Alligator mississippiensis: one gene and its partners. The protein of the gene in region 4 purifies or fractionates together with the protein of the main gene of each other region. This does not show direct contact. Links are inferred from orthologs where the notes say so. Each region holds a gene or a part of one and is shown on either strand. Other genes may lie near its edges.

Region 1 (6,989 bases), on a different chromosome or scaffold from region 4:
CAAGAGGCTCGTGAGAGATTGTTTGCAAGTCATGCAAGTGTCATTTTGCTAGACCATTCCCATGTCCCCAGAGACAACAATCATGGGTCCACTGGAATGGGAGGCCATGCCAATCAGTTCTGGGCTACCACAGCAAACCCATCAACCCAAGTCCGAGTCCTGGGAAGAAGTTAAGAACATGGGCAAAAGCCCAGGTGCAACACAGCTGCTTCAGAGAGCCACATTCTCCATCACCCCCCAAAAAACTAGACAGCTACATGGCAGAAATCACTCAAGACAGGTGAACAGTTAGTGTCTAGTCAGAAACAGCAGTTAGAGGAGTTGGTAGTATCAAGGCAGCAAGAGGAAACCAGCTTAGAAGAACAAATAAAACCTGTCAAGATCCAGCAAAGAGAAGGCTCAGGTCAGGAAAGGAAAACCCTGCAAAGAATAGCAAAAAGGGGAGGGGGGGAAAAAAAGATGAAGACAGGAAGGGAGGAGGGCTGGCCAGCAGCTTCCCCACAGGCTAGAGCCAAGTGGCAGAGGGTGGGGGGCTCAGGCCACAGTACACACCTGTGTCATCTTTTCCCTGTTGGCTTTGGGGTTCAGGGGAGCCTCTGTGAGCAGCACAGGGTGCTCCTCAGGGGCAACTCTGAGCTCGTTGTAGAAGGTGTGGTGCCAGATCTTCTCCATGTCATCCCAGTTGGTGACAATGCCGTGTTCGATGGGGTACTTCAGGGTCAGGATACCTCTTTTGCTTTGGGCCTCATCACCAACATAGCTGTCTTTCTGGCCCATGCCAACCATCACACCCTGAAGAAATAATAATAATAAAAAAAGGGGCTACCATTAGTTAAACTCAAACACCCACATCCTACCACGTCTACCAGACTGGTTACTTGGGCTAGGGGCCAGCCAGCTTTTCAAGTGGCTTATAGTAGGGGGAATTGCTGGATGAACCAAGCCATCAACTGATTAAGGAAGGACGTGTCCCTAGAACGGAAATGAGTTGCTTTTTCTCCAGTCTAGGAATTGGAGTCTTTGGAGCCACTCCATTTCTTGGAAACCGTTTCCAGCGTAGAAGAGGCAGCACCCCCTCCCCTCCCACGTACCTGGTGTCTGGGGCGCCCGACGATGGATGGGAAGACGGCACGAGGGGCGTCGTCCCCAGCGAAGCCGGCCTTGCACATACCGGAGCCATTGTCCACAACGAGCGCAGCAATATCATCATCCATGGCGAACTAACTGCAAAGCAACACAAGACAATGTGAGCATGCTGGAGTTGCTGCTCTGAGTAGCTCGTGGGCACTCCTAGACCGTGGTCTGTCAGGGCTGCCAGGCACCACCGCTCATCCTGTCTTGCCAGGAGGAGGAAAGCCCCATGTGGTAAAGCTCCTGCCAAGACAGAGCTGCAGACCCGGCCGCCTACCCCACCCATTTCCTCTCTAGCTTCCTGTTTGCTCTGCGCCTCTTCTCCAGCCGGCCGCGAGGGGGAGCCCAGTGCTGCATATTTTGCCTTTGCACAGATTTGGGACAAAGGAAGTCCCTGCTCCAGTCTCATATTATTACCATAAAAGGCAATGGTGAGAGCGAGCTTTGCAAGGAGCCAGTGGCACGGCGTGGAGCCAGCTTTTGGGAGGGCCCCCGCTCGCTGCCAGCCACTCCCCTCCCTTCAAAGGAGGCCGGGCCTGGCCACTCCCTGTTCCCAGCACTGCTGTGGGGGTGTCTGTCTGGAGGCAGGCGTGACAATGGAGGAGTTGCGAAGGGCAAGTTCCCGACACCCTGCTCTGGGCTCCGGCTCCCCGCCCTGCGCAGCCCCGACTAGCGCAACTAGTCAGGCAGCCACGCACAGGTGCATTTTGTGCTCCATCAAGTGGGGCAGCAGCAGACCCGCCCTGCCAAGCTTGCCCAGCAAGTTGGCTCTGGAGCACCTCCTTTCTCCCCACGCCCCACTGAAACAGCCAGAGCGTTATTCTAGCATTACAGTCCTTGCAAGCTGGGAGGGCCCCTGGGGCACAGCCCCGGCCAGGCTCAAATGCCACCTCAGACCCAGCGGAGAGTGAACTGCCAAGCCCATTTCTACCCTCGTGTGCCAAGCAAGGGCACCAGGGAGTGGAGTCCTCCCCTGCAGCTGGGGCAGGGCGGCTGGGCATTGCCCCCGTGCCAGGGCAGCTCCCCTACAACACTGCTGGAGCAAAGGGCACCCCCCACCCCTGCCTCCCAGCCTAGGAGCCAGGCACTGGGGTGCAGAGACCCCACCCTACCCAGCGCCCGCCAGCAGCTGCGGGCAGCCCCTCCCCACGCATGGGGGGGCAGCCACCTCCCAGAGACCATCCAGACAAAGACCCTCTCCCCAGCAGTGGGAGGAGCGGCTGCTCCGCTCGCCCCATGCACCCAAGGCTGCCTTCCCCTACCCCCACCGCGTGCGCCCAGCTCCTAGCAAGGGAGCCGGGCACCTCCAGCCCTGCAGCAGGGCCAGCAGTGGGTACACCCCCTCCGTCCCAGCTCTGACCATTTCTTCCCCACCCAGCCCGGCAACAAATCCTCTTAAGAGACGCACTACAAACACCTCGCCCCCCACCACACACAGCTGGGGTACAGGAAGGGTGCTGGTGTTGCAACCCCAACCACCAGCACTCCCCTTGCACCCCCCACCATGCACAAGTGGGGTACAGGGAAGAGGTGGTGGTACACCCCCAGCACCAGCCAGTCATGCATGGTTGGGGTGCAGGTTTTGCAACCCCACCATACAACACTAGCACCCCCCACCATGCACAGTTAGGGTACAGGTTTTGCAACACCCCATGCACAGTCGGGGTACAAGGAGGTGGTGGTTTTGCAACCCCAGGAGCCTCCCAAACCATGCAACCCCGCACCCATGCCCCCCTGCAAACACCCCCCTCCCTGGGCCCGGGCCCGGCGCTCACCGGGCGGCTGCAGGCGTCGAGCGGTGCTGGGGTTGGGGCTGGCGGTGCAGGCGGGAGCAGCTCGCGGCGACAGCAGCCGGCCGCGCGCGCCGGGTTTTATAGGACCGAGCGGGCCGGGCCCCATCGCCATATAAGGCAACTTTCGGAACGGGCCGCGCTGATTGGCTGCGGCGCGCTCAGTCACCGCCGCGCGCGCACATTGCAGCAGCCCCCCCTCCCCCGCGGGCCCGGCGCCTCCCTGCGCTGCCGCGGCCGCTGCTGCACCCCGCCGGCCGGCCGGCACCCCCGGGCAGGGGGCAAGGGGCAGGGCCGGGCCGGGCCCGGAGGGTGCAGTTGCACATGCAAAACAAGCCTTGGGGTGCATTGCACGTGCAAAAAAAAAACCCCAACCCTGGGGAGCCAGCACTCAGTGCAGGGGGAGGATGAGCCCACCCTGGTACCCAGGAAAGCGCGCCCTTAACCCCCTTCCAACTGCCCAGGGTGGAAATGGATGATGTTGAGCATTGGCAGGCAGTGCCATGCCGTCCCCAGGTTTCCATTATGGGGGTGGTCGGAGCAGCAGGGATTTGGGGGGTCCTGCCAATTCCTGCTTCCTCTTCCATTCTGGTGCAAGGCCTCGTGTGGTTGTGTTTCTGCAAGTCTGCATTTCGGTATCGTACGGGAGACTCGTTTCCAAACAAAGGCAAGGTCACCCCGCGAAGAGCCAGGAGCCGAGGGGCTGCAAAGCGTTTCGCCTCTCTAGGACGCGGTGCAAACACGAACTGATTAAATCGAGTCAATGAAGCAGTGGGGGAGTGTGGGCCTCGACTTGCAGACTGCTGTCAGTTTTGCAGCGCGGGCTTCAACCTGGCAGCAAGGTTGTGCCTTGGATATTGGCTCTCAGCAAAAATAACAGCCCCTGGAAAATGGTACACATGAATTTCTAAGTGACACGGGGATGGGCAGTGTGCTGCTGAAGTGGGGCGCCAAGCTGAGCGTGCATTTGGATGAGGATGCGATGCAGTAGGGAATGGGGTTAGCAGGGCATCTGGAGTTGCGGGGGGGGGGGGGGGTGCTGTTTGATGACGGCCCAGCCCTGCCCTGCCAGCTGAGTCACAAGGAAATCAATGAGACTTGATGTGAATAAGGCCTACCTGAGTGTGTGTGTGTGTGTGCAGGACATTCATTCATATAAGGTGAAACCTGGAGGGTTTGGCCATTGAACGGTTCCTTCCTGTAAAGTGAGTCCTTTTTTGGAAGAGTTGGGGGTCAGGGCGTTATCTCCCCAGGGAAATGCGTGTCACCCTCCCTGCGCGACATGGCACAACACCGGGGAGGAGAAAGCAGCAGGGGGAACTGTGCAAATAGTTGTAGAGCACAGTTCTGCAATTACCTGGGTGGGGGTAATTGTGTGGGACTTAACAAGCCATTTATGGATGGGCCGGACTGGTTTCTCTTCCTATTGGATCCCTATGCAGAGCCCAGCTGACTTCCTCAGCAGCCCGTGTGGGGCATGTAGCCTGCCCAGCTGCCCCAGGGCTCCCAGGGGAGCTGGGAAGGGCCACGTGGGGTCTCAGGCCTTTGGCTTCTTCCTTCTCCCTGTGTTGAGGGACCCAGAAAACAGCCTGCAGGGACCAAAGGCCTCTGGAAACAGAAGTTCACCTTATAGTGGCAGGGCGAGGACAGGCTGTTCGACTCTCGGCCCTTGTTGCAAGGGGTTCATGTCTTCAGATGGGGGGTCCGCACCTGCTGCAGTCTAGTCGTTGTGCCACCTCCGACTGCAGGCGGGCACTGAGCCAAGCATTGCTTTGGGTCCTGTCTGTGAGAGGAGCATCCTGACACCGCCACGCGACTGATGATCCAGAGGGATCCCCACAGTTGTCAGTGGAGCTCGTCCAGGTAGGCACTGATGGAACCGAGAGCAGAACTTGGCCCTTTGCAAAGGGTCTACACGCACCCTGTCGGGACAGAGAGGCACGCAGCGGGTGTCCAGCCTGGTATCACGATTCACCCAAAGCAACACAAGCGGCATCTGGAAGGAGCATGGCGCACGAAGGGGCACACGCATTGCACCGGGGTGTGCTCCGAAGACCTCTGGAGGGTCCTTCCAGCCGTACTTCTTTATGGCACAAGCATAGTCTATGGAGGGGAATCCAAAGGGCCCAGTGGACCCAGTGCAGGAGCTATGCACGGGCTCTTAAAGGGCATGGCAATCGCACGCTCCTCCAAAGAGGTGCTACCCCTAAACCCATACCCCTACCGACCTGCCCTGTATCTCCTCTAGAGAACATACAAGGGCAAAAGTACCTCATCAGAAATGTCCAGCTACAGGGAAGAACACAAAGGCTTTTATAAAAACTCAAGGTTTTCTTTAACACGAGGAGAAGGCAGCCATGCGACGTGATGGGCAAAGCAGGGGGTGTGCAACCAGGAGCCCCGGAGGTAAAACCCTGCCTGCCCATGTCTGTCTCTGTGACGTGGGGCAAACCCCTCCAGCTCCGTGACTCTCAGCTTCCCTATCAGTAAAACGGGGATCATTGCAGTTAATTAGCCCGTTCCCAGAGACTTCATTAATATCCCTGCCCTTCTTTGGAAAGGCTGAGCCTTGCATATTATTAATTAGAGGATTATGTCAAATAAAAGCAACCACAAGGCCCGGGTGCGGGGTGGCTGTGCAGAGCAGCAGGGGCCGGATGAGGCAAGGGGGAAGGTTAAGTGGAAGTGTCCATCAGGGATGAGGTGGGGACAAAAAACATCCTGTGAATGCGGTGAGGCAGGGGGAAGCGCACTCCAGCCCTAGGAGAGGCTGCCATGCCGCTTCACCGCCCTTCTCCGCACAAAGGCTGAAGGGAGCAGGGACCTGAGGGAGATCAGCATTAATGAGGAGCCGGCGGTCTCAGGGGGCTTCCAGCAAAGGACAATAGGCGAGAAGCTATTGATGATCAGCAGGGCCAGATGCAATTCTGGGAAGGGGCTGAGGACCTGAGGAGAGGAGTCTCCAAAGTCTCCTTGCAGCCATCTCTGGGGACTGATGGAGAACAAGTGAGGTGGGAGAATGGCAGATGTAAGATGGTTATGTGGGGGGGAATTACCAGCCAGCTAGAATTGCCTAACCTCACAGCTACAGCAAAGAGCAAGGTACCCGAGCTGGAAATACCCCAAACACAATAATGCGTCCGCCCTGTGCCATGAGAATTTAATCTGAATGAAGATTGCAAGAACCGGCCCCTGACGAGCAGCAAGTGTCCCCGGTTCTCTCACTTCCTCCGAGGTGGAGAAAAGCCAGGATTGAAAGGCATTGACTACAAAGGGGATTTGTTCCTGAGGGTGCAGGTCACGCAGATAACCCAATCCATGTGGGGCTGTGGCTGAACAAACTCTCCAAGGCATCGCATTAATGCTCCCACTGCATAAACTCACCCAATGGCTGTGGTGGAGTGTGTATGGAGCTTGCTGGTGGGTTGTGCTACAAGTGCCTCCTAGAAAGGGGACAGGCAGAACGCCATGGACACTGTGGGTGGGAGCAGAAAGCCAGGATCTCATCACTAAACATGAATGGGGAGCGCTTGGAAAATTGGGACAATTTAGAGAAGGCCAAGAGGGAGAAAAGAAGACTGAAAGGGAGGCCTAGGGAACAATCTTTGAAAGCAAGATAAGATGGTTGTAAAGAGGATGGTGAGCAATTGTTCTCACTGTCCTCTGAGGATTACTGAGAGAGGCCGTGGAATACGTACAGGTTGAATCGGGATGTCAAGCATCCGGCCCATGGGTCAGATCCAGCTTACAGAGCCCCATCATCCAGCCCCTGGTGCTGCCCTGTTAACCCATGCACTGTGCCAGACTGACCCTGTGCAGAGTACCACGGACACGTGCCACCCATGGCACTCACTGGGACCAGGTCCCAGGCTGTGTTACAGGGGATGCACAGTTGGGCTGGCATCCCAAACCAGCCCGGGCAGGTGCTATATGCACTGGATCGGGCATGTGGGTGGGGGACGTCTGTGGGCCTGATCCAGCCAGTGGACTGGCCCGGTGCCACTCATCCAGCCCACAGGACCAGACAAGGGGCCTAATCCCTCTAGGTTAGACCGACACTAGGCTGGA
Region 2 (7,936 bases), on a different chromosome or scaffold from region 4:
AAGAACCCCAAAGATAAACTTAATCCCAAAGGGAAAGCCCAATGCCCTTGGGCTTTTCCAAGCCCTACAAGGAAGCTGGTAACTTTAGGGGGGCTCCTCCCAGTGGGACTTCCCCCACAGGGGAGGAGGAGTCCTCGCTGGTTAGTTAAGGGCTCCTGAAAGTGGATCATCTTTTCCCTGCAACTCATGGCTCCCAGGCCTGGAGGGTGGCCCTCATCCTCTGTGCCAAGCTACTCTCTCACCTGTAGTGGGCTTGGGGGGAGGGGGTGCTGTCCCCTAGAACAGGGCTTCTCTATGCAAGGCTTCTGGGGCCTCTGGCTTGGTGCCATCTGGTGGCTCAGTAGCTCAAACACCGTCTGGCTCCTTGGATTAGACCTTTTGCTATGGGTCAAAGGCCTGGGCTACCTCCATTCAGCGCCTCCTGCAATGAGCTCCTAGCCTCATTCTGGGGGTTGAGGACCTGAGCCACCCAAGCGCTCCAAAGGTCCTACTCCATGCACCAGCCTGTGCACCATGACTCTGGCCACACACCAGAAGTTGCAGACCCAAGCCGCTTCACGCAGCTCCCAGGGTCTGGATGCCATGCTGCACGCCGAAAGCCTAGCTGCTGGAGCCGTCCGCCATTCCCCACTGATGGAAATCTTCAGGGGTGCTCCTGGGCTACTGCTTCACCCTGCTGAGCAGCTCTCCTCAGCTCTTCTAGGCCCTGATCTTCTCTGTCCCAGATGCGTTTCCCCTCATGCTGGGCATGTAGCTCCTTTTATACTCTCCAGGGCTCTGCCCCTGAAGTCTTCCAGACCTGAGTGTTGCAGTCTTCAATCAGGTCTGAGAGGGGGAGGGGGGGGGGAGCAGCTCCTCTCCCACTTCTCTCAGGAAAGGGGAATGACTTAACTCCTTTTGCTGCCTCCTGATTGGTAGATGGGCTCCACCAATTAAAACAGCAAGTTTTCAAGCCTGGGACTCAACCCAAGCTCTGAAAGGCAAGCCTGCTACACTAGCAAATGTTTTGTTAATAAGATACTTTCCAATCCTCTGGAATTTGGTTTCTTCTCCAAGTCCAGAGCCTTCTGGCTCCTTAGAAAAACAAAGCATTTTCACTTTACCTTTCCATCAGTCTCTGTTGCCTGGATCCTAGTCCTTTTCCTCCAGTGAAAACTCCATTGACTACTTGCTGGTCTTTGGGTTATTTCCCCCCCCCCCCCAAAATCACTGATGGCAGTAGGATGAAATTGACATAAAAAAAAAAAAAATATTATAGTCCACTGCTCTGGGACTAGCCTTGTGCCCTGGTGCGAAACTAACCAGATTTGCTAATTTCACCCTGTTGTGGCTTGGCAAAGCCACGAGCAACGCATAGTAAAGCTGGTCACCCTACAAGTTGGTGATGCTTTGGCAAGTTATATTCTGTTCACATTTGGATACAACCATAAGGGTTATAAATGCATTTAGTTACAGGGTCCAGAGGTAAAACTTAATGGAACATTATAATGGAGCTATGCTAATATACACCAGATAAGGACATAACTATAAATCTTCATATAATCCTATTCATAATATGTATACCTTTCAATTTCGTACTGTTTGTATTCATAAACTCATGTTGGGAACAGAAGCCATCATATTAATATGGAGAAATGACTGACCAACACAACAGTTGATGAAAAACTGGACAGGAATAGATGAGATGTCAACACAAAGATCATTTTCATTCTAAGGACTCTTGGAGGCCTCCTCCCTCCCAAAGCAACGATTTATAACACCAGTTGTGTGACATTTCCCAGCTAAAAGAAAAAAAAATTAAGTACGTCAATCAACCAGTTGTCACTGGGAGTCCATGGTAGATGCATCTGCTCAGTGCTTCTGCAAATTAGTCCTTGAATCCAGAGGTGCATAAGAAATTGTTCGTTTCCCCTATCCAGTCATGCACAACTTTACCAGTCCACACAAGCAGGTTGCTTGGTCAAGTGAATGCATCTCTCCCTTTCATGGGCAGAGGAAGGAGGGAAGTCAGACAAGGGACTAAAAGCAAGGTCTTTTTTGTCAAGAAATATATAGTTTGTTAGGACTTTTATCCTTGCTGAATTTCTGTTATTATTTATGGTTGTCACGGTGGGGTCCTGCAGGAGGGCCGTGATCTCCTCAAGGCCCCCTTCTTGTGCCAAGTTGGCCCAAGGGCACCCTCAGATTCTCACCCGCCACGTCTTTGATGGAGATTAAATGTATGGGAGGCTGCCTTATGCCCTCTTGGTCACTTCTTAGTGGTGACTCAGACCCCGTGGTTTCCCAGACCCCTTGTGGGTCCCGTTCTACAATGGGTGCTTCCGGGGCACCCTAGCCCTATGGGCTATGCATGGCTCCAACCACCCCTTTCACCACGCCCCAAGCCTCGCAGCTGGAATAGACATTGTTCAGTCTCCTTCTGTCTCCACTCCCTTTCTGGCACTCGGGCTCTTGACAGCCCCATCTCTCTCTCTCTCTCTCTCTCTCTGTGCCCCCTCTCGGGGCTCTTCTCTGCAATGCCACCCCCTTCTCCAGGGCTGACCACGCCCACACTGGGGCTTCTCAGCAATGCCCCCTCTCTGGGGCTGGGGTCTGTGCACCCCTAATGCTGCACCCTTGCTGGCACTGGGGTTCCCACACTACTGTGTGTCCCCTATGAGGTCTCCTCCAAACCCTAATAGCCTCACCCAAACCACCGGTGATAAACAGCAACACAAAATGCAAGCCCATCGGCTATAACTTAAACAGAAGCCACCCGGCTATAATCATGCTTTGCCTACCAGGGTTCTTCATCCCACAGCCAGGTCATGTGCTGCTCCTTCAGCAGGCATCTCCTCTCTTCCACAGCAAAAAGCTCCTTCCTCCAGGGCTCCTGACAGGGACTACCTCTGGTCTTAGCTCCTAGGGTTTATAAGGGAGCCAGGCCCTACCCCTTTCAGTCAGCTGACCTCCCCTGGTTGCCCTGGCAACCCACAGCTGGGCTCCTTGTTCCCTGCTAGGGCTCTTTCCCCATCAGTTTCCCCTCTTCACGAGCAGGGCACCTAAGTACCCTGCGACAATGGTCTTCATTGCTGTACGAGACATAAGAGGAAGAGATTATAACTGAAAACTCTGACCTTGCAAACATATATGCCTGTGTTTAATTTAAACACCTGAGTAGTCCCATAAGGCTCCTTAAACTGCAAACTCTGCAGATGACTTCAGTGGGGATACATGCAAGTGCAATGCCCTGCTTGCATGAAGTCATTTGAAGGACTAGAGCCTCAAACACACAGGGAGAACAGACTATGTTATGGAGCCTAAAGAAGGATTAATTTGCAATATTACTCAAATGCAAGCAGGAATAATCACAGAACACCCTCTAAAGAAAAAAAAATCTATTGTTTAAAGTATTAAAAATAATACAAAAGGATGCAAAAAAAACCCAATAAAAAATGCTTTTCTGGGTTTGGACTTTTTATTATTCTTATAACTATTTCTCTACAAAAATAAATAACAAAAATATTTTGTTGCTTTTTCTCACAGAAAAATATTTCCCAGCTTACTGTTAGCCCTCTCCTTCTTTAAAAACTGGGACTTATATTTACAGAGTATGTGCTTGTACAGTATATACATAAATACACTCATGTGCAAAGGTTACATCCAGTGATATGCAAAGGTGAACGCACAGAATGCAGATAACATCATCAGGGTTACACCTAGAGAAAATGATGTAACCCCGGGGGGTAGGGGGGTACATACACACACAAATACGCACACACACCCATATATATATTATACAGGGTCTTCATAAAGTCTGTATGCACTTTTACACTTTAATAACTTAGGTTGTAAGTATAATAGAAACAATCTATAAATGGCATTTAAAAGCAAATTTATTAAAGTTTTAGGACAACTAGAATACACAATGTTAGACTTCAACATAACCACCATTTTCTTCTCACAGCTGATATGGACTTCAATTCTGCTACCCATACGACAGTTTACCTTCTCGTCTACAGTAGCCATTTTTTGTTTGTCAAAGGATCTGAAATAAGAACTAATTCATTATTACTTATGAAGTCTACCATTGTGTACTCTAGTTGTCCTAAAACTTTAATAAATTTGCTTTTAAATGCCGTTAACAGATTATTTCTATCATACCTACAACCTAAGTTATTAAAGTTTAAAAGTGCACAAGGATTTTATGAAGACCCTGTATATATATATTATACTAATAATTGGCATTTAAGGGGTTGAGATATAAAATGTATGCTGGTGGGAGTATGAAGGCAGCTGATAAATCTGGAAGGAGGTACACAATAAGAAAAAGTTTCAGAACCTCTGCTCTATATGTATATATCCTCTCTCTATATATTGGGGTGGAGAACCCCAGTGGCTATATATATATATATATATACACACACACACACACGCGCGTGTCATCTAGTCCGTGTGTATAGAGTTGTGTATATACACACGAACACCCACGCTGGGACTCTCCACCCCACTGTGTGTGTGTTTGTGCATATCTACACCCCTCTTCAAAAACATGTATATATCCCCTATATGTATCTATCATCTGTCTCTCCACACCCACACGTAAACACACTCCGGTGTATTCACACACGCACGCCCACACACAGCAGTACACGTACATGCACACGTACACGCGCGCGCGCACACGGGTGCGTCCTGCTGAGGCGCCCCTTGTAGCAGTCGCCGCGCTGCCGCCATGCCCCGGGCGCCTCTGTGCGTGTCCGCCCTGCACAAGCGCGTGCTCTCTCTCTCACACACACACGTACTCACACGCACTCTGCCCCCGAAGCGGCCCCTGCCCTCAGCGCGGCCGCCACTGGTGCTTTAAGACGCTCCCACAATGCCGTGGCGCCCGGCCCCGTTACCAGGCAGCTCGGGCCGCGGCAGGGCCGGGAAGGGGCGGGGCGGGGCGAGGTGCCCCGCGCACAGCTGAGGGGAGCTGGCAGTCGGGAGCCGTGTGGGCAAAGCTGAGGACCCGCTGTGCTGGAGCCGCCGCTCGCGGTGAGTGTGGACTCGGGACGTGCCCTCCCCCGTGGCCCCCGGCCGGCCCTCTCCTCTCCTCTCCTCCCCTTCGCCCCTCGGCTCTTCTCCGTCTCCCCCAGCTCCTTTCCCCACTTCCCCTCTCTTCGGTTTTTAACAGCCCCCACCCTTCTCTTCCCACCTCCAACTTTCTCTTCTTCCTGGTATTTTTCACCCCTTGCTTTCTCTCTCTCTTTTTTTTCTATTTCCTTTCCACCACCCTCAGTTTCCTCTTCTACCCTGTTTCCTCCTGGCGGCTCACCCCCCCTCTCCTTCTCCTTTCTTTCCCAGCTCCCTTTCCTCCCCTCTTTTATTCCCCCCCCCCTTTTTTTTTTGGTATCTCTGTCCCTCTCCATACAGCTCCCCTCTTAAAAAGTCAGGGGTGTTTTCCACACCCTTGGCAAGACAGTTTCGAAGCCACTTTTACCCATCAGGAGAATGTGTAGCTCTTTATTTTTCTTTTTTTTTTAAACTTCTCTGGGCTCTCTCTTGCCTTCCCCCAGTCACCCGAATGAAAACAAAATGAGTTTTTCTTCCCAAAGTGGATTGTGTTTTTGTGTTGGCTCCCCCCCCCTCCCCCCCCCCCCCCCCCGCCCCTTGCTTCCAGACAGCCAGGATTTATTTTGTGGTTAATCTTTTTTTTATTTCCCCGCCTCCTAGTAGGAAAAAGATTAAAAGTAAATCCGTCCTGCCTGTGGGGAAATGGATCAGATTTTAGGACTGGCTGCTAGGAATGCTTGAGTGAACGGTGTCTGATTTTGATCATAAAACAGCTTTAAGGCTAGGCAGGCGGGTGGTGTGGGTTTTTTTCGGTCATTGGTCGATGCAGCATTGAGTACATTGTAAACTTTGTGGAGACCGAGATGGGTTTGATTTCTTTTTTTTTTTTTTTTTAATTTCCAAGTCAGTCTTCTGATATGGGCCAACCCATCTTTCTCCACAATCAAATGTCATTTGGAGACAGCAACAAAGCTTCACATTAAATTGCAGCTCTGCATTGCTCGTGGATTTGATTGGTGTCCTATGTAAAAAAGGAGAAATATGGTGCACATTTTGTTGTGCCTTACTGAATTGCACCTGTCTCCTCTTCCATTTGAGTCTTGCACAGATCGCAAAGCTTGGCATAATAATGATCAGAAAAAAGTCACTAGAAACTAATTGAATACCTGACCAAATATATTGTGGGTTATGAAGTCTGGCTTGTGCTTTACAAGTGGCTGCATCATCTTTCAGCAGCATTGCTTGTTAAAATTAAATACGCACTGGACTGTGGAGAACTGCTAAATCAATTACCCCTTGATTTCTGGAAAGACACCTGGATTAAGATGATTATTTTCTTAAATTTTCAACTGATTTTGTATATGCAGCGCTATCCCTACTGTATGTATATCTTTGGGAAATGTAATCAAATTGGACATTAATTTGGTGCCGCTTCATATCATGGGGTCGGGTCTGCAGATGGGTAGGTAAAGAGTTGGGGGTGCTTTTTTTTCCTCAGTGGATTATATTGTGTTTTTTAAAATACATTTAAGTTAGATAAGTTAATTGACAATATTGTTTGTAGTGTCTGCATAATTTTTAATATAAGACAAAATGAGGCTGTCTTTGGGGAAGGGGAAGTGAACAGAAAAAGACTATTTTTCCTCCACGGAGTTTTCAAAAACACATGCTCCAGCAGGATAAAACAACTGTGTAATACGGTTTCTACAGCTACATGAGAACCTCTAAATCGGCCCTTCCCATCAAATAAAAAAATCCTTATAGAAGCTGCCCCTAGTTGCTTAGATTGGTAAAAGATGGGTCTTTCTCTGTGTCAAGCTTTCTGGAGACAAAAGACAAATTTGTGAATGGAATCATAAGAAACAGATGGAAAGGCAGCAAATGCTTCTGGCAACAAGTTAGTACATCTTTTTGGAGTCTGGTGGTGCTGTGTCCAGAAATATGAACAACCTGACAGAGATGACTAGCAGCTTATTTTTGATCCTTCCTTGAGGGAAGCTTTGAAAAGGGATGTAGTATTAAGAGGGGAATGAAATCTAGCTTTAAATGAAATGCAGGACTAGGGAGTTGAGTTTCTGTGCCTGTTTGCTGCCATTCCATGGCATGTGACCTTTACCTAAACTTCACCGTCTGCCCCCCTCACAGGATGTTGAGTTTTCCAGTAATGACTCTAAACTACTTTTAATACCATTTGGTGAAAATTCTTTGGTGCAAATGTATCAGTCTGTTTTTTTGCCTAACGGTTGTTTAGGAATGTTAGTTAAGTAGCCCTATGGATTCGTATATTAATATTGGCTCTTGTACGGTTGGGAAAGCACAAACCTCTCTTGTGTACACAGTTAATGTTGTGCTCTGACAGCAGTATATGTGTGAGCACATGGGGAATTTTAACATTGGCATACTGTTATGGAAACCGACCTTCTGCTCATCCACAGTGCAGATATTAGTGCAAGTTTTCCCCATAGTGTGCACCTCAAGCCACTCCTGAATAGGCTGTTTAGTGCCTGGCAGAAAGGAGACCTATTAGTTAAGTGTGGAAAAAGTACTGAGACTCCCCTAGCTTAATACACAAAATTCCTGAGCAAATGTTTTTCCTTTGTAGATACTATAAACAACATTGCCTACTTCAAGCATTCGAAGCCTTATAATCCAGACTTCCAAAATCATGAGAGGCTTAGAAATTGTGAGGGTTTTCTTTCCCCTTTTTGGTGGGGAGGAGGGGCAGGGGTATACTTTTCTTTGCCTCCTTATTTAAGGTGTTTGTTGTTGTTGTTGTTGTTATTACCTGCTTGCGTCATGTTTTCAAGCTAGTAACTTCTCCTTTCTTCTTCTAAGAAAGCTGAAATTCCTCTCCCCCTCCTTCCTCTGCAATCTCTTGATTCCAGGAGTCAAAGCTTTA
Region 3 (7,587 bases), on a different chromosome or scaffold from region 4:
AAAATCACCAGTGGGGTAAATCAGCTGGGCCTGCTGCCTGCTCTGCAGGCTCACAGCAAATAAAAGCACTACTGTATACACCACAAGTGTGGTAGTTTCCAGCACAAAGCACATCTGTGCTGGCAGGGGCTTCAGGGAGGCTCAGAAACAAAAGGATACTATCTGGCTAGCAGCTCAGTGACTTCTTCCTTTGTCATGACCACGTGCTCTGGAACCAGCTGCAAGTACAGAAGCAGGGAAATCTCAATAACCCAAGGAGAGAAAGAGAGAGAGAACGAACACATGCAAGTGAGCGCAAAAAACATTGTTTCCTGTAGTGACCAGTGTTAGGAACACAGGCTTAGGAAAGACTGGAGTAGCTATTAAATGCAATGCCAGCACCCAACAGCACAAAAGCACACCGCTCCAAGGGCCTGGAGCCCCCAGACAGCTCCAGGATGTGACTGACCATGCCCAGCTCACACCGATGTACCCAGGCACTGGACTCACCTCATGTTCAGTGATGTTAATCAGCAGCTCTTGCTGGAGGAACTGCTCCAAGATGTACTTGGGAGCCATGTCTACCAGGGACTGAAAGAAAGAGAGTGAACATCAGCATGGGCTAGCAAGCCCAGCGCACCAGACTGAGCTGGTCCCGGGTTTATTCAGACTGGGGCTAGAGTATGCCATTCCCATCATATTGCCTTCGCTACTTCAAGGGCATGCGCAGGTGTGGGTAACAGACCTCTCCACCAGCAGCAGACAGGTGAGCACCACTTCCCCCATCACAGCCTGACGTTTGCCCACTTCTCCCCTTGCTAAGCCTTCTGCTCCCTACTGCTCTAGTCACATTTCCTCTTGTCGTTCCTTGAATCACTCCCACCCTCCTCACTTCTTCTGTCCCTCTTGGGCAGCAACGCCGCGATAAGGGAACGAGTCTCATTCTTGCTGGGATTTTCCTGGCCCACTACCGCAGTATCTGGGCAGTAACGCACTTCACTGCCTGCAAGCTTCGCTGACAAGGAGTTAAGAGCAGTATCTTGTACCTTGCAGAATACAAAGTTTGCTCAAGTCAAACCCCCGAGGGGTAGGAAAGAGACTGTTGCAGGGAGTACAACCGTGGCATGTTCCCTAGGTATTTCTAGCGAGCCGAATCAAGAACCCCTCACACAGCTGATCTGTAAGAGCAGGGTCATCTCTGTGGCATATTAAGTAAGACCCATGGAGAGCCTTGCAGTAATTGCTGATATAGTCGAGCAACCTCCGCTGAATCCAAAGGGTATCTGTGCCCAGCGGGGCTCGTCCAAGGACCGGACTCGAGCACAGGCACGTGCCACGAGTCCATCCCCACTGCACCCCCCCCGAACGCCTCTGGGGCCAGGCCATCGTGTACGTTTGCACGGACTCCTCCGCATCTACGCCAGGTGCTTCTTTGTTTGCTTCGTAAAGGAAACTCACAGGAGCCACTTCCTCACACAACTGCAACCCCAGCCTCTGATGCTGCACCGCGGCCTCACCACACATAACAAGCAAGCGCCTTTCAGGCCATGCCGGCTTTAACAAACAAAAAAGCAAAGCTCAACCTTGCCCCGTAGGGCAGGGGGCGGCGACATTTTTGGGCAGAGTACTGAAAACACTCACGACTCCCAATGTGTAAGACGTCGGGCGGACGGCGGGGGAGCTACAAGGGGCCCAATCCTCGCTGTTGCCGTGTACCCACCATCCACCCAGAGGCCGAGCAAAATGCCCGCGAGCGCCGCCCTCCGGGGTAAGAGCAGTGCCCCGGCCCGCGCGCCGGGCTCCGGTCTCGGCCTCTCAAGTAACGGTCGCCGCTTTTACGGCACCGACGTGCTCCACGAGGTCGCCGCGAAGGAGGCGCGACCCGGCGCGTCGGCCCCCGAGAGCCCGAAGGCCGCCGGCCCCCGGGCAGGGCAGTGGCGCACCTGCTTCGCGGACGGCGTCATGCCCTGCTGCACCACGATGAGGGCTCTGGTGATGTTCTCCTCCTGCATCCTCTGGCAGTACAGCTTGATGGTCTTGATCCCCACCTTGGGCTCCTCTGAGAAGAACAAAAAAAAAAAAAAAAAAAAAAAAAAAAATCAGGCCAGGCGGGATTTAGGAGAAGGGTCCGTTTCCTTTACGAGAGCGTGCGTCCCCCCGCCGGGTTTCTAACAGAGAAGCGCCGCGGAGCCTCACCGGGGAAGAAGACGAACATCTGATCGGTGGGGTCGTCGTTGTGAGCCACCAGCACCGTGAGGTCGGCGCGCCTCGGCCTCCCCTCGCTGGGCTTGTCGCCGTACTGCCCCTTGAACTCGTCCAGCGTCTGGTCCAGCTCGTCCTGCGTCACCAGGTAGCCGCGGTCGTGGCAGAGCTGCGGGGAGCGGGCGCCGTCAGCTCCACGAGGGGTGGGCAGGGAAACTGAGGCACGAGGAGGAGGAGGGGGGGGGAAACTGAGGCACAGGGATGGCAGGGGGTAAGGGAAACTGAGGCACAAGGAGGAGGAGGGGGGGGAAACTGAGGCACAGGGATGGCAGGGGGTAAGGGAAACTGAGGCACGAGGAGGAGGAGGGGAAACTGAGGCACAGGGATGGCAGGGGGTAAGGGAAACTGAGGCACGAGGAGGAGGAGGGGGGGGAAACTGAGGCACAGGGATGGCAGGGGGTAAGGGAAACTGAGGCACAAGGAGGAGGAGGGGGGGGAAACTGAGGCACAGGGATGGCAGGGGGTAAGGGAAACTGAGGCACGAGGAGGAGGAGGGGAAACTGAGGCACGAGGATGGCAGGAGGTAAGGGAAACTGAGGCACAAGGAGGAGGGGGGGGGAAACTGAGGCACAGGGATGGCAGGGGTAAGGGAAACTGAGGCACGAGGAGTGTGGGGGGGGGGGGGGGGGGAGGCCTGGCCCACCTGCATGATGGTCTTGCGGATCTTCCACAGGCGGTACGTCTCCTCCTCGTCGTCCATGCTGCCCCCGCGGGCCGCACTGCGCAGGCGCCGCCGCTCAGGCCCCCGCGCGCGGGTGTCCGCACTAGTCGCCTGCCCGGCACAGGGCAGGCGGCATTTAAGGCGCGCGCGTGACAGGCAGTGCGAAGGATGCCTACGCCAGCGTCTGGCTGAGAGGAGGGGTCCTTAGGAACAAAGGCTCCTGGGAGATGTCGTTCTCCCGTAACAGAGGCCTCTGCCGCCCCCTGCAGGAGCCCCGTGGGGCCGCCCGTTTCTACAGCCGGGCAGTTTTACCCCTTGCGCCCGGCGCTGCTCGGAATTGAATGCGCGAGTCACCCGCTAAGTGCAATTTATCTGTAACACGTCGTCAGGGCCTGGGGTCGCTCGGGGCAGCTGCCAAGCCAGGGGGATTCTCCAGGCATCCTCCCTTCAGATGGATAAGCACCCCCACCAGCGCAGAGCGAGGGTTTGGGGAAGGGGGTTGCATATGGGGAGGTGCGCCAATCCCGTAAGACACGGCGCATCTTTTCTCTCCCCTTTAAAAATATACTAGAAGATTCAGGAAAACCCCAGAGACCGTGGGCGACGTTCATTTGGTTTAAGATGGAGATAAAAGGAAATATCACTCTATTGAAAGGATTTTAAACCAGTCTGCAGGGCTGCGGACAAGGAGCTTCGTTACCAGAAGGCTTCAAACACACCGAATCCGTGCTGAAGTTTATGTCCATCTCCTAAAAGAAGAAAGAAAGTGGGTGGAAGGGGAGCTGTTACCTTTCTCTACCGACCCCGGACCACTAGAGCACCCAGTCGCGGCGCGAATGAGAGTATCTTGCCACCCTGGTACTCGAGGGAAGCCAGTGCATTAGCAAAGGCCATTGAGAGCGTGGGAAGAGCATCATTTTGGTTCGTAAAAATGCAGGGTTTCCACGCGCGCCGTGGTGATCTCGCTCTGCTGCAGCGGTGGAGCGGGGGCAGAACGCACGCTCCAGCGGGGAAAAGAAAGGCAAGGCAAGATTAAGGGGGCGAGCGTTCTTGACCGCTGGCTCGCAGCCGGGGAGGGAGAACTGGTGGTAGCTCCTGGTCCCCAAACGAGCGGAGGATGGACAGGAACCTCCACGGCCTGGGCTGCTTCTTGAGGATCTTATTTCTGCCTCCAGCAATGGATCTCATGCTCTGGAACCAGCTGGAAATACGGAAGCAGGGAGATCTCAATAATGCAGGATCAGAGAAAGAGTGGGCATGCAAGCGATTGCAAAAGCTACTGTTTCCTGCCACACGGGTACAGGAAAGACTGGGGCAGCTGTACGCGGGGTGCGGGCACCAAGGGCACGCTGTGCCAAGGGCTGGGGCCCCGGACAGCTCCAGGACACGGCTGACCGTGCCCAGCTCGCTCCAGTGTACCACGCACCGGACTCGCTTAGTGCTCAGTGAGGTTATTCAGCAGGTCTTCCGCAAAAGACTCCTCCAGGGTGTCCTTGGGAGCCATGTCTACCGGGGCCTGAACACAGAGGTTCTGGGCATCAGCACGGGACAAGCCAGCCAAGCAAGGAGGAAGAGGAAGGGGGGGAAACTGAGGCAAGGCGAGGAGGAAGGCCTCAGGCGAGCCCAGGGCCGAGTCCCGTCCCCGCCGCCCGCGCCGCCCATGCCCTGCACGTGCCGCCCTCCGGCCCCACTGCGCATGCGCTTGGCCGCTCAGGCCCCCGCGCGCGGGTGTCCGCGCTAATCGCCTGAGACCGCCGCCCGCGGCGCGGCGCCCCCAACCTTCCCGAGCCCGCCCCGCCGCCCGCGGGTAGACGTCCCAGGCCGCTCCGTTTATGGCGCGCGGGTGACAGGCGGCGGCAGGGACGCCCACACCAGTCGGCGGCTTTTGTATGTGGGGCCCCAGAAGCAAAGGCTCCTGGGAGATGTAGTCCTCCCATAAGAGAGGTCTCTGCTGCCCCCTGCCGGCGGCCGCTGGCACAAGCCCTAGGGGCTGCCTCGTCGGCCCGGTGAAGGGCGAGGCAGGTGGTTGCACCTCTTCCAGCCCTGCCTTGGGAGCTGGCTGCCTCCTTTTGCCAGCTGGGGAGTCATTGTTATCCTGCAGTCATTCCTTTGCATGCGGGGCTGGTCGAAACGTATTGCACAAATCACTGAAGAACTGCGTCATGTACGTAACGTGTCGCCAAGGTCCTCTGGGCTCCAGCAGCTGCAGAGCCGGGGGGTTCTGCGACGCACTGCCCCCACCCCGTCCCAACTCCCACATCCTCCTTTCAGCTGGATAAACACCCCGGCGCTGGCGGATCCGGGATTCTGGAAAGGGGGTTGCACGTGGGGAGATGCATCGTCCCATAGACCAGTGGTTCTCCGCCTTCTTTGCACCACTTGTTTGCACACATCGACGGCTGGTCCCAACCCAGCGCCCCTCACTCCCGACCCGCTGCCCCCCAACCCCAGCCCCCCGCGCGTGGGGCAGAGGGTGAGTACGCGGGGCAGGGTGGCGTGTGAGAGGTCTGGGGGGGCCCCAAGCAGCCTCTTGCAGGCTGGAGCTCTGCCAGTCTGGAAGGGAACACCCACGCCTCCCTCCTGGAAAGGAGAATCCGTTTTGAAAGTTTGTTTGCAACCCTTTCCTGTATTCTTGCAACCCACTTTTGGGTCACGACCCGTGGGTTGAGACATGCTGCCAGAGACCACAACTCATCGTTTTCTCCAGTTAAAAATCCCCTGGATTTACAAATATGCCGGGGGCCTTGGGCTGTGGTGTTCAGTTTAAGCTGGGAGCTCAAACGCATAACTTTGTTGGAAGGAGTTACAAATGAGCAAACACCAGCTTCCTTACCAGGCGCAGGGAACAGAGAGCCCAACGGCAGAACATGAGCGAGCTTGACTGGTGGAACAGCCTTTTCTTGGTACGGACTGAATACGACGGCACCGAAGGATGGAGCCGGGGACGGCCCTGCTTGGAGCAGGGGTTGGCTTAGATGTGACCGCCCAAGGTCCCTTCCAGCCCTCGTTTTCCATGATTCTGTGAATGGCAAGACAAAGAAGCGAGGGTCGTTAACACCCGGGCATGAAGAGCTGAGAAGGGAACGGGTAGATTATAACGTGATAATCGTGCCACAAAGTGACTCCCTCACTGCTGCCTGAAAAGAAATGCCACTGCTACAGCCAGGCAACTGGTTTTAAACTTCCGGTGCAGCAGGAATCAACGTGGGGTGCGAGTACACCCCCTGGATCCGCCCCTGCCCCTGCCCCCCCAACCCCAACGCACACACTCTTGCTGGAAAATCAGGACCGTTCCCCACGTTTCAAGTGCAACTCTAGGACATAACACCCGTCTTATCTACAACGTTGTTCCTTCCGTTCTGTCCCACCGTCTCGTTCGCTGGTGGCACACGGAGCCAGCAAAAGATGCGAGATCTCAGGGGAACTCAGGGGAAGTGCCTAGGGCAGGGGTGGGCAACACGCGGCCCGCCAGGCCATTCTATCCGGCCCGCGGGGCCCCTAAAAATTTAGAAAATGAATATTTATCTGCCCCTGGCTGCCTGTCATGCAGCCCTCGACGGCCTGCTAAAACTCAGTGAGCGGCCCTCCGCCCGAAATAATTGCTTGCCCCTGGCTTAGGGCCTGAAAAACCTGCCCAGAAGCATCAGGCTAAAACCCGTGGTTAGGCAAATAAGAGCAGTGCCAGCATGTAGCAACGCTGCCTGTATGACACAATGCCTCCATACGCCGCGCTGGTGTTGCAACGGCCTGTTGTAACGCAGGTGCTATCATGCAGGGTTTTAGCAACACGCTGTTTCACAAAGCCCCCGTGTCACAACAGCGCTTGATTGATCATCATCTTAGACATCCTGTTAGCATTTCACCACAAAGTCAAGCCCACCGCGCTGCGGCATGGAGATACTTTTTAACCATAGAAAATCTGATTTATTATGTAAGATGTTATCATCCTATGGCTAGAGACTGCCTGCACAGGAAACAGCTCTCCTGGGGACTGAGCTGCAGCTCCGGGATAACTAGGAGCCATCACGAACGTCAGACTTCCTGCCCCAAACATAAAGGTGCCCGTCTCCGACCTGCCTTTGCTAAGAGCCACAAACGCCTACCAAAGGACTCCACACGCTCCCTGGAGCACGTAGCCCGTACGTGACAGATATTAGTCAAGAGACAGGTAGTTAACCACGTTAGTCTGAACCTAGGCAGAAGGAAGGGTAGAGATGCACCTTACAGACTAGCTGAATCAGAGATGCATACTCTTGCGCGAGCCCAATCTCATGTCATCATCAGTCAGGTTACTTCAGGTGCTGCGGGAAGGAAGATGCATGGAAAGTACCATGCTGGGAACCTATCCCGAATGTCTCAGACATGATTAGCCCATTGCACCATCCCATTGCACACGACGATCTAAATTCCTGCTCCTGGACATGTGTCACTGCACAGGAATGGCCCCGGTCGAGCCCAGCTCTGATGATTTTGTGATCAAAGGAAAAGCTCTGCATGATCTAAACGTGAATGCACCTCCAGTCCCTGCGGCAATTTGAACCGGCTAACACTTCTCCTTCACGGGGCGGGGGGGAGGATGAGGCCAGTGTTTTAAGCGTGGCCAGTTTGTTTTCATTACAGTCCGGAGCATCCCAGCTCCGGGGATTTGATCAAAGGACCGTGCCCTGGCAAGCGCCAAGTCTGCA
Region 4 (7,980 bases):
GCACTGAGGGCAGGGAGTACTTAAGTAAGCGATGACCACGCATTGATCGGGAGTACTCTTTGAGTAAGGAGCGAGTGAGAATTGAACAGGGAGTACTCGAGTAAGGGACGAAAAAACATTGAATAAGGAGTGCTCAGTGCTCCTCAAGTAAAGAACGGGAAAGGGCTGAGCAAGGAGCACCCCTTTGTAAGAGATGTACAAGCACTGAGCAAGGAGTAGTCCTTGAGTAAGGGAGGAATAACTGACTGCAGAGCAAGAAGTACTTGTGTCAGGGATGAGTATGTGTTGAACAGGGAGTGATGATCACTGAGTCGTGAGTAGCACATGAAGGAGTATCTAATATGGATAAGTAGCTGCTGGATAACGAGCGAGCAGCAAGTCACCATGAGCAAAGACAAAGAGGCGGGTCGGGATTTCCACCTGCAGAGTGCCCCTCTCAGACAGCGAAGGGATTGTCTAGGCAGCATTGGGCCTGCAGGGCTGGGCATGTTTTGCGGGCAGGGATCAGCTGTGGGGACTGCCTTGGACCCTGTGTATGGGCAGCTGGGGAGGAAGGTAATGGGGCTCTGCTCTCTGCACCCCCAGCAACGCTGTCTCCTGCCCTGGGCTCCATTCCCGCCCCAGCAGCTGCCAGCGCAGGGCAGGGAGGGGCGGGAGATGACGCACTGACATCTCTAACCACACACTCAGGTTGCCATGGGGACCAGTGACAGGATGTGGTGAGGCCGCTCACTGCTGAAATAGGAAGTGTTAGCTAACGGGTGTGTGCAGCCCTCAGCACGTAGAGCCTCCTCCTGGGACAGACCTGGTGCTCCTGGCCCTGTTAGCTCATCCCCTGAGACCCACTTGCCTGCCAGAAACCCCCCAAGGGACCCAAACCAGAGAAGACCTCAAGCTGGGTCCAAGCCAAAGGGGGAATTATGGGCAGTGAGATGCCATCATCTGTGGGGCTGGGACAGGGCAGAGTTACGGATCCTGTTTCCCAAGGGCCTGGAGAGCTCTGATTCAGATTGGATGTCTCTATCTTGAGCTCAGCCGTGCAAGCTGGCGGGATGCAGAAGGTGGAAGTTTGGAGAGATCCTACCTAAACATTGCCATCCCAGACAGAGGACACTGAGCCTCCTGCATCCTTGACTGACCTGTTAGCTAGAAAATATAATCCCTCCCCACCCCACCCCCACACACACCTTAACTCGTTTGCAGCATCCTATGTGTTTATATAGCAGACAGAGCTTGGAATTTCACCCCTGGTTAATCACCACTAAAGGGCACGGCACTAACCAGCTGCATCCCTGGTTAGCTGCAGTTACAACAGGCTCATTTGTTGTTAGCATCAGGCTGAAGCAGTTTCCTGGTAGATGCTCTCATAAGCCTCCTCTCAGACAACAAGGAGAATTTCACCCTGACTTCCCCAGGGAGCTTAGCTTTCCCAGATGTGAGCTGAGCCTGTCTAGCTCAGAGCCAGGGTTCTCTGCCTAGGGGGTGAAGCTGGGAGGGCCCCTGGGTCTAGCAAGGCTAAGAGAAAGGGGTTCAGGTACAGCTGATTTGTGGCTATGGGTGGTCTGTGCTGAACCACCAGCACTCAGGTGGGCACAGTGCCCTTCGGTAGGTTTTTGTGCAATGGGGCTGAGCAGGAGCATGCTGGAACTCAGGCTCAGAGCAAGGGATTGCCTTGGTTGGGTTGTGAACCTGGACACCAGGTCCAACAGGCACAACAGTGCCAGGGAGCTAGAGACCATGTACAGAATAGGACCCAGGTGTCCAAGAGAGAAGTCCAAGGCATCCTATCCCACACCTGTAGGGTCTATACTTCTCTCAGTGCACAGCAGGCTGCCTCCCCATTGCCCCAGCACTCCCAGTTGGGAAGGCTACCCCTGCCCCCCACCCCCAACTCACGCATTCTGGGCACTGCCACCCCCGATGAAGCCATAGCGATCAGTCTGGCGGTATGGGGGAACCCCATTGAACTCAGAGTCAGAGCCTAGTGAGCTGGAGTCCTCATGGTGCTCCAGGGCCAAGCTGAAGGCATCCGACAGGTCCTCCAGGGTGCTGTGGCTGGAGGAGTCAGCAGATGACATGGTGCTGGTCGCCATGCCCACGAGAGCACCCTGCAGGAGGGAGAGAGGGCCACAGTGAGTGTGGAGCAGGACAGCCCAGGACCAAGCACCCAAAAGAGACCCTCACATAGGCTCTCACCACAGCCCACCCCACTCTCTCCCCAAAGGAACTATCCACACCCCACCTCCTAAGCCTCCCCCTCGCCCCCCTAGGCCCTGCCCACCTATGCCCCTGCACCTCACCCCTCCAGACCTGCCTGTCCACAGCTCACACCCTCTTCCCTTCCTAGGTCTGTCCATTACAGGGCCTCCTTCCCCTATCACTTTAGTCTTTCTGTTTGGGGTGTTGCAGCCTCTTACCCACAGTGTCTACCCTGGGCGCCATTCCCCATGGGGTCTTCTTGCACAGCATCCCATGCCTTGTGCCCTCTCTGGGTCCGCCCATTTCCCCCAGCACCCCAGCACAGGACCCCATCTATGTGTGTTCAGTGTGTATGGGACATGCTGGGGCTGTCTTGCTGGCCATGCAGCATGTGTCCGACCCCTCACCCATGCAGGCTCCCCCACATCTATTGGCAAGCCCTCATCTCTAAATCTCCCTACACTCAGTGCTTGGGGAGTTTCTCAGAACATCCCCTCGCGTCTGTCCAGACACCCTGTGCTCCAGTCTTCCCCAGGATCCCACTCACCTTCCTTGGCCTCTAACTCGTGCCCTGCGCTGGGCTTGGGGGGCTTTCCTGATGCAGGATGCTGTGTCCGTGTGTCTGTCCCTTGCTGGCACCTCAGCCCCGGCGTGCGCCTTGCAAGCTGATTTCCTTCCCACAAGTCATTTCCTCCTGCACCTGATACTGCTGAGGCGGCAGGCAGTGTGTGTGTGGGGCGCAGGGGCCCATGGGAGAGAGCACGCAGGGAGGGGGCAGGTCCCCTAGAGAGGCAGTGCATGGTGTGGGCAACCGTCCTAGGGGGGGACACATGGCACAGGATGGTGGCAGGCACCCTGGGGAGTGCATGAGGAGGGCAAGGTCCCAGGAGTAAGCAGCCAGTGGGCCTGGGACTCGAGGCAGAGGGCACTCACTCTTTCCTTCCACCTGCTGACTGAGGCAGTACTGGAGTGACTGGGAGCTCCTCCCACAGCTATCACCCCCTACATGGCACTGTGCCAGGGGTGCAAGGCAGACAGCGTCACAGGGGGTTGTATGGTGGTGATGGCCTTAAGATCATGAGCCAGGCATTGACATGGGGTGCTGAGGGTGGTGCTGAGCCCCCATGGCAGTGTTGGATACTAGCAGTGGTGGGCAGTGCCTGCAGTCATTGCCAAGCAGTGGTGTGGGGGTGGGAGCCTCCTGCTGGGCACTGGCACTGTCTGACCCCTAGTGACACTGGGTGGCAGCCCTAGGCATGGGTGGATCTAGGATTTTGAAAAGTAGGGTACAGGTGGTGTGGCACATTGTCACATACAACACAACACTCTTTTTCTCCAACTAAAGGGAAACTAGAAGCTTTACTAATATGCTACGGGGCTAGTATGACAGTATTCAATTTGAGATCCAAGCAAAAGTAAACAGGGTATAACTGCTGGAATGTGCACTGATTTCCTAGATGATAGGAAACTTTTATCTTTAAAAAAGCACAGTAAATTTGACAAAACACAGTCATAGTCAAAAGGTATCTCATCAGTCACAAAGCCATCACAATTCAATCAACCCAAGTCCAGCATTCCTGAGCTTCTTGACAGTGCCTCCAGTACCTCACTGTCAATCACCTGAGGTAGTATGACCACACAGAGGTTAAAGTTTTTTGGCTAGAGCGGAAGAGTCTGCGAGGCTGTGATCCAGAAGAAAGAGGTGACTAGGCCTCTTCTGGATTAAGATCCAATGTAGTCCCTGCACTGGTCTGCTGCCGGGGCCGAGATCACTTTTGAATGGCAGTGTGCAATGGTGGGTGCATACCTGTGCAATGCACTGAGGACAGGACACCTTATGAGAGTCCACTATAGCCTCCCAGTGGGATGATCTTGGCTACACACCTACTTTATAGAAATGGTGGACACCTCCTAAGGGCAAGCGAGACTCGGGGACATCTGAACCCCAAGACCTCTGGGCTTGGGCCTGTACGTAGGATGCCAGCCAATGGATTTGGGGGTATCTGAAGCCTCAGGCTGAAGAGTCTGGGATGGAGGATACAGTGGTAGCGCCACATGGATTTGAATGACTGAGTTCGGCTCAATTGATAGGCTTTGGAACTGATTTGGCAAATTCAACCTGAAATATGAAATTAAAAAAAATTAAAAAGAGAGAGAGAGGCAACCAGGCAGCAACATTGCAGAGCAGTGCTGTAGCAATGAAGTTTGGTGCCCGGGGCAAAGCCCACAGCGGCAGTTTGCCTTTGCCCTGCGCACACATCTGGGGGGCACACGCCTCCCACCCCAATGCTTGCCCGGGAGTGAACGCAGCGGCGAGAGCCATCCTCCCTCCATCCCCCCCAAAATGAGCCACTTGCAGCTCCGTCCCACTCCCCGCCCCGGGTGAGCAGCACCTGTCAGTGCCCCTTCACTTTGGTGCCCAGGGCGGTTGCCCTGCTCACCCCCCGCCCCCCTTGCCCCAGAGGATGGGCTGGGGCGCAGGGTGGCCAGCTGGTTGTCCCCTGCCCTCTCTTGATACGAAACTGGACGCCTTTACGTCCTCTATAGAAAACTCGAGGACATAGAGGCGTCGGGTTTCGTATCAAGAGAGGACAGAAGTGTCCTCTACGGCGGCCACGGGGGAGCCCGGACCACTATGACCCCTGCACTCACACGACCCGCCGGCTGGCTGCAAGGACACCCCCAGGCCGCAGCGGGTGCTGCGCAGCGGGGCGGGGCGCGAGGCCTGGCGGCTCGGGGACCCAGCCCCGCCCCGCCCCGCCCCGCCCGCAGATGGGGCGGGGCGGGGCGGAGGCAGCAGGCGGGGGAGCGCAGGCCGGGCCGGGCAGCCATGGCGGACGGCGAGAAGCTCAACCTCGACTCCATCATCGGCCGCCTGCTGGAAGGTGCCGCGGGGCCCGGCCGGGGAATTGAGGCAGGGCGCGAGGGGCGGCCCCCTTGGGGCTCGCCTGAGCCCGCGGGGCGGGGGGGCACGTGCTGCAGGCGCCGGGATGGGCCTGGGGCGGGCGGCAGGGCTGCGTGTGCACATGCATTCGGGTGGGCGTGGGTGCTCACGCGCGTGGGTGGGTGGGCGCCTGCATGTGTCCGTGCGTGCGGGGGCGGGGAGGCGCTGCCCCCCCCCCCCCCCCGGTGACCCGCCCCCGTGGGCCGCCCCGCTGCAGTGCAGGGCTCTCGGCCGGGCAAGAACGTGCAGCTGACGGAGAACGAGATCCGTGGCCTGTGCCTCAAGTCGCGGGAGATCTTCCTGAGCCAGCCCATCCTGCTGGAGCTCGAGGCGCCGCTCAAGATCTGCGGTGAGCCCCAGGGCCCACCGCCACCCTTGTCCACGCATCTTGTCCCCCAGCCCCAGCCTTAGGGCAGTGGGTTCCCCTGCGGGAGGTTGCAGCGTGTCCTGGCTGGTGTTCGCAGGGATCGGAGCGGTCCCACCTGCACCTTACTCTCCATTGCTCCCCCCAGTCCAGCCCTAAGGGTGGAAGGTCCCCCTGCGAGAGGTCCTGGGGGTCTCTTGCTGAGGTGGGCTGGGTGTGGGGATTGGAGCAGCCCCCCCACCCCCACACACACACTTCTTTGTCCCCTATTGCCACCCTCACCCCATTTGTGGGGGTGGTGGGTTCCCCTGTGGGAGGTCTTGGCAGGTCTTAGGAATCCCTTGTTGATGCTGGCAGGGTAGGGGGGTCAGAGTGGTCCCCTGGCTCCGGCTGCAATCTGGGGGATTAGGGGAGGAGGATGCGGGATCTCTGGGCAGGGCTGGTAGGGACAGCATAGGTTCCCTGCTGGGCTGGGGGTCTCTGGGTAGCTGGTAGGGAGGTTGGAGAAGGTCTGTGTACTGAGGGTGCCATTCCCCCCTGCACTCTCCAGGTGACATCCATGGGCAGTACTACGATCTACTGCGGCTCTTCGAGTACGGGGGCTTCCCACCTGAGAGCAACTACCTCTTCCTGGGTGACTACGTGGACCGGGGCAAGCAGTCATTGGAGACCATCTGCCTTCTGCTGGCCTACAAGATTAAGTACCCTGAGAACTTCTTCCTGCTGCGCGGCAACCACGAGTGCGCCAGCATAAATCGCATCTATGGTTTCTACGACGAATGTGAGTGTGATTTCACCCCCCTCCCCCTGCCCCTATCTACCTGGACGCATGACTGTTCCCATTTGTGTCTGAGCCTGGGCCGTGCTGCGAGTATGCAAGCATCAACTGCATTTGAGTGCTAATGACCCTGGGCCCCCACTATTGCAACCTCTGCCTGCCTCCAGGTGTGAGCATACACCTAACTGCAAATGTGCAAACATCAACCACGCCTGTGCCTCATACTCGCATCCCTGCAGTTGAGGGTATCAGCTGCATCTCTGTCTTGTGCACCAAATTTCTTACCCTACCACACTCCCAGTCACAAGGGTGCACTCCCCAGCTGCAAGCATGTGGGCATGTGCTCTGGGGGCAGCTGATGTGGTAAGTGTGGTGCCTTCCAACTATGAGGGGGCTGCTTGTCCCATCTCCTATGGTGGCCCAAACCATGTGACTCTCTGACCTGGGTCTCCCTAGAAGGGAGTGTGCACCCCGGGAAAGGCAGATACTCTTAGGTGGTGGGAGCAGAAGGGGCTGCTGCTGTGGTGAGGCTCCCATCCCAGATATTGTGCTTTGCAGGCAAGAGGCGCTACAACATCAAGCTCTGGAAGACATTCACTGACTGCTTCAACTGCTTACCCATTGCTGCTATTGTGGACGAGAAGATTTTCTGCTGCCATGGAGGTGGACAGTGCCCAGGCCTCTAGACCTTGTGATCGGGAGGGGGAGAGGGAGTCCTTTCCCTTATGAGGCACTGCTGGGGTGGGGTTTGGGGGGAGAGGCTCCGCAGGGCTGTGTAGGGGTAGAGGGTTGCTGTGGGGGGGTCACTGGGGATGCTCTCCAGCAGATCAGCACCACCCCCTGCTGGGGTATGATGTCTCACAGCCTTATCCCCCTTTCTTCCCAGGGCTGTCCCCTGACCTGCAATCAATGGAGCAGATCCGGCGGATCATGCGCCCCACGGATGTGCCAGACCAGGGCCTGCTGTGTGACTTGCTCTGGTCCGATCCTGACAAGGACGTGCAGGGCTGGGGCGAGAACGACCGTGGCGTCTCCTTCACCTTTGGCGCTGAGGTTGTGGCCAAATTCCTGCACAAACACGATCTGGACCTCATCTGCCGGGCACACCAGGTACCCTGTACCCTGAGATAGAGCCATATTAGGGGAACTCAGGGGTGGGCTAGCAAGGGGTTGCGGGTCAGAAGTGAAGAGCAGAGCTGTGAAGAGAGCCTGTGGTTGGGATGGCAGAGAGCTATAGCGGAGGAGGCAGAGCCAGGGCTCCTGTGTGGGTTCCCTGCATCTGGCAGAGGGAGGGCTAAGTTGAGTCCTGGTGCCAAGCCCTTCGTTGTCCTTCTGCCTTAGGTGGTGGAGGATGGTTATGAGTTCTTTGCCAAGCGCCAGCTGGTGACACTCTTCTCAGCCCCCAACTACTGTGGCGAGTTCGACAATGCAGGTGCCATGATGAGCGTGGATGAGACCCTCATGTGCTCCTTCCAGGTGAGCCTCAGGCCAGGGCTCTTCTTCCCCACCCCTCCCTGGCAACCATGGCAATGAGCCAAGCTCTCACCCTACGGACACAGGCTCAGAGCTGGGTAAGGGTTGAATTTCCCTTCCCCTGACCCTGCAAGCATCTGCCTGTCTCCTGTAGAAAACCTTGATGAGGGAGGAGTTGGGTCTTGGAGTGGGGTTTCAAGAGACTCCCAGGGGCTCTGAACC

What was found.
Region 1: the proteins of PPP1CA (region 4) and ACTB purify together in Homo sapiens (affinity purification with mass spectrometry; 3 studies listed by BioGRID, with this or other methods). This does not show direct contact. The link is inferred for Alligator mississippiensis from reciprocal best matches to the Homo sapiens genes PPP1CA and ACTB.
Region 2: the proteins of PPP1CA (region 4) and RASSF8 purify together in Homo sapiens (affinity purification with mass spectrometry; 3 studies listed by BioGRID and IntAct, counting the BioPlex papers as one, with this or other methods). This does not show direct contact. The link is inferred for Alligator mississippiensis from reciprocal best matches to the Homo sapiens genes PPP1CA and RASSF8.
Region 3: the proteins of PPP1CA (region 4) and POLR2E purify together in Homo sapiens (affinity purification with mass spectrometry; 5 studies listed by BioGRID and IntAct, counting the BioPlex papers as one, with this or other methods). This does not show direct contact. The link is inferred for Alligator mississippiensis from reciprocal best matches to the Homo sapiens genes PPP1CA and POLR2E.

Annotation. Positions count from the first base shown.
Region 1 is NC_081836.1:53,263,996-53,270,984, forward strand, and holds the start of ACTB (actin, cytoplasmic 1), read right to left. Parts: upstream 3,015-6,989; 5' UTR 2,907-3,014; intron 1,225-2,906; 5' UTR 1,215-1,224; coding exon 1,092-1,214; intron 793-1,091; coding exon 553-792; intron 1-552. UniProt on the Homo sapiens protein: Actin is a highly conserved protein that polymerizes to produce filaments that form cross-linked networks in the cytoplasm of cells.
Region 2 is NC_081827.1:128,470,808-128,478,743, forward strand, and holds the start of RASSF8 (ras association domain-containing protein 8), read left to right. Parts: upstream 1-4,929; 5' UTR 4,930-5,019; intron 5,020-7,936.
Region 3 is NC_081839.1:2,967,183-2,974,769, reverse strand, and holds the start of POLR2E (DNA-directed RNA polymerases I, II, and III subunit RPABC1), read right to left. Parts: upstream 3,004-7,587; 5' UTR 2,942-3,003; coding exon 2,885-2,941; intron 2,351-2,884; coding exon 2,176-2,350; intron 2,039-2,175; coding exon 1,923-2,038; intron 571-1,922; coding exon 490-570; intron 219-489; coding exon 160-218; intron 1-159. UniProt on the Homo sapiens protein: DNA-dependent RNA polymerase catalyzes the transcription of DNA into RNA using the four ribonucleoside triphosphates as substrates.
Region 4 is NC_081825.1:176,233,010-176,240,989, reverse strand, and holds the start of PPP1CA (serine/threonine-protein phosphatase PP1-alpha catalytic subunit), read left to right. Parts: upstream 1-4,976; 5' UTR 4,977-5,029; coding exon 5,030-5,084; intron 5,085-5,360; coding exon 5,361-5,492; intron 5,493-6,057; coding exon 6,058-6,288; intron 6,289-6,843; coding exon 6,844-6,948; intron 6,949-7,171; coding exon 7,172-7,395; intron 7,396-7,626; coding exon 7,627-7,761; intron 7,762-7,980. Other genes in the region: TBC1D10C (carabin), read right to left, coding at 1,897-2,093. UniProt on the Homo sapiens protein: Protein phosphatase that associates with over 200 regulatory proteins to form highly specific holoenzymes which dephosphorylate hundreds of biological targets.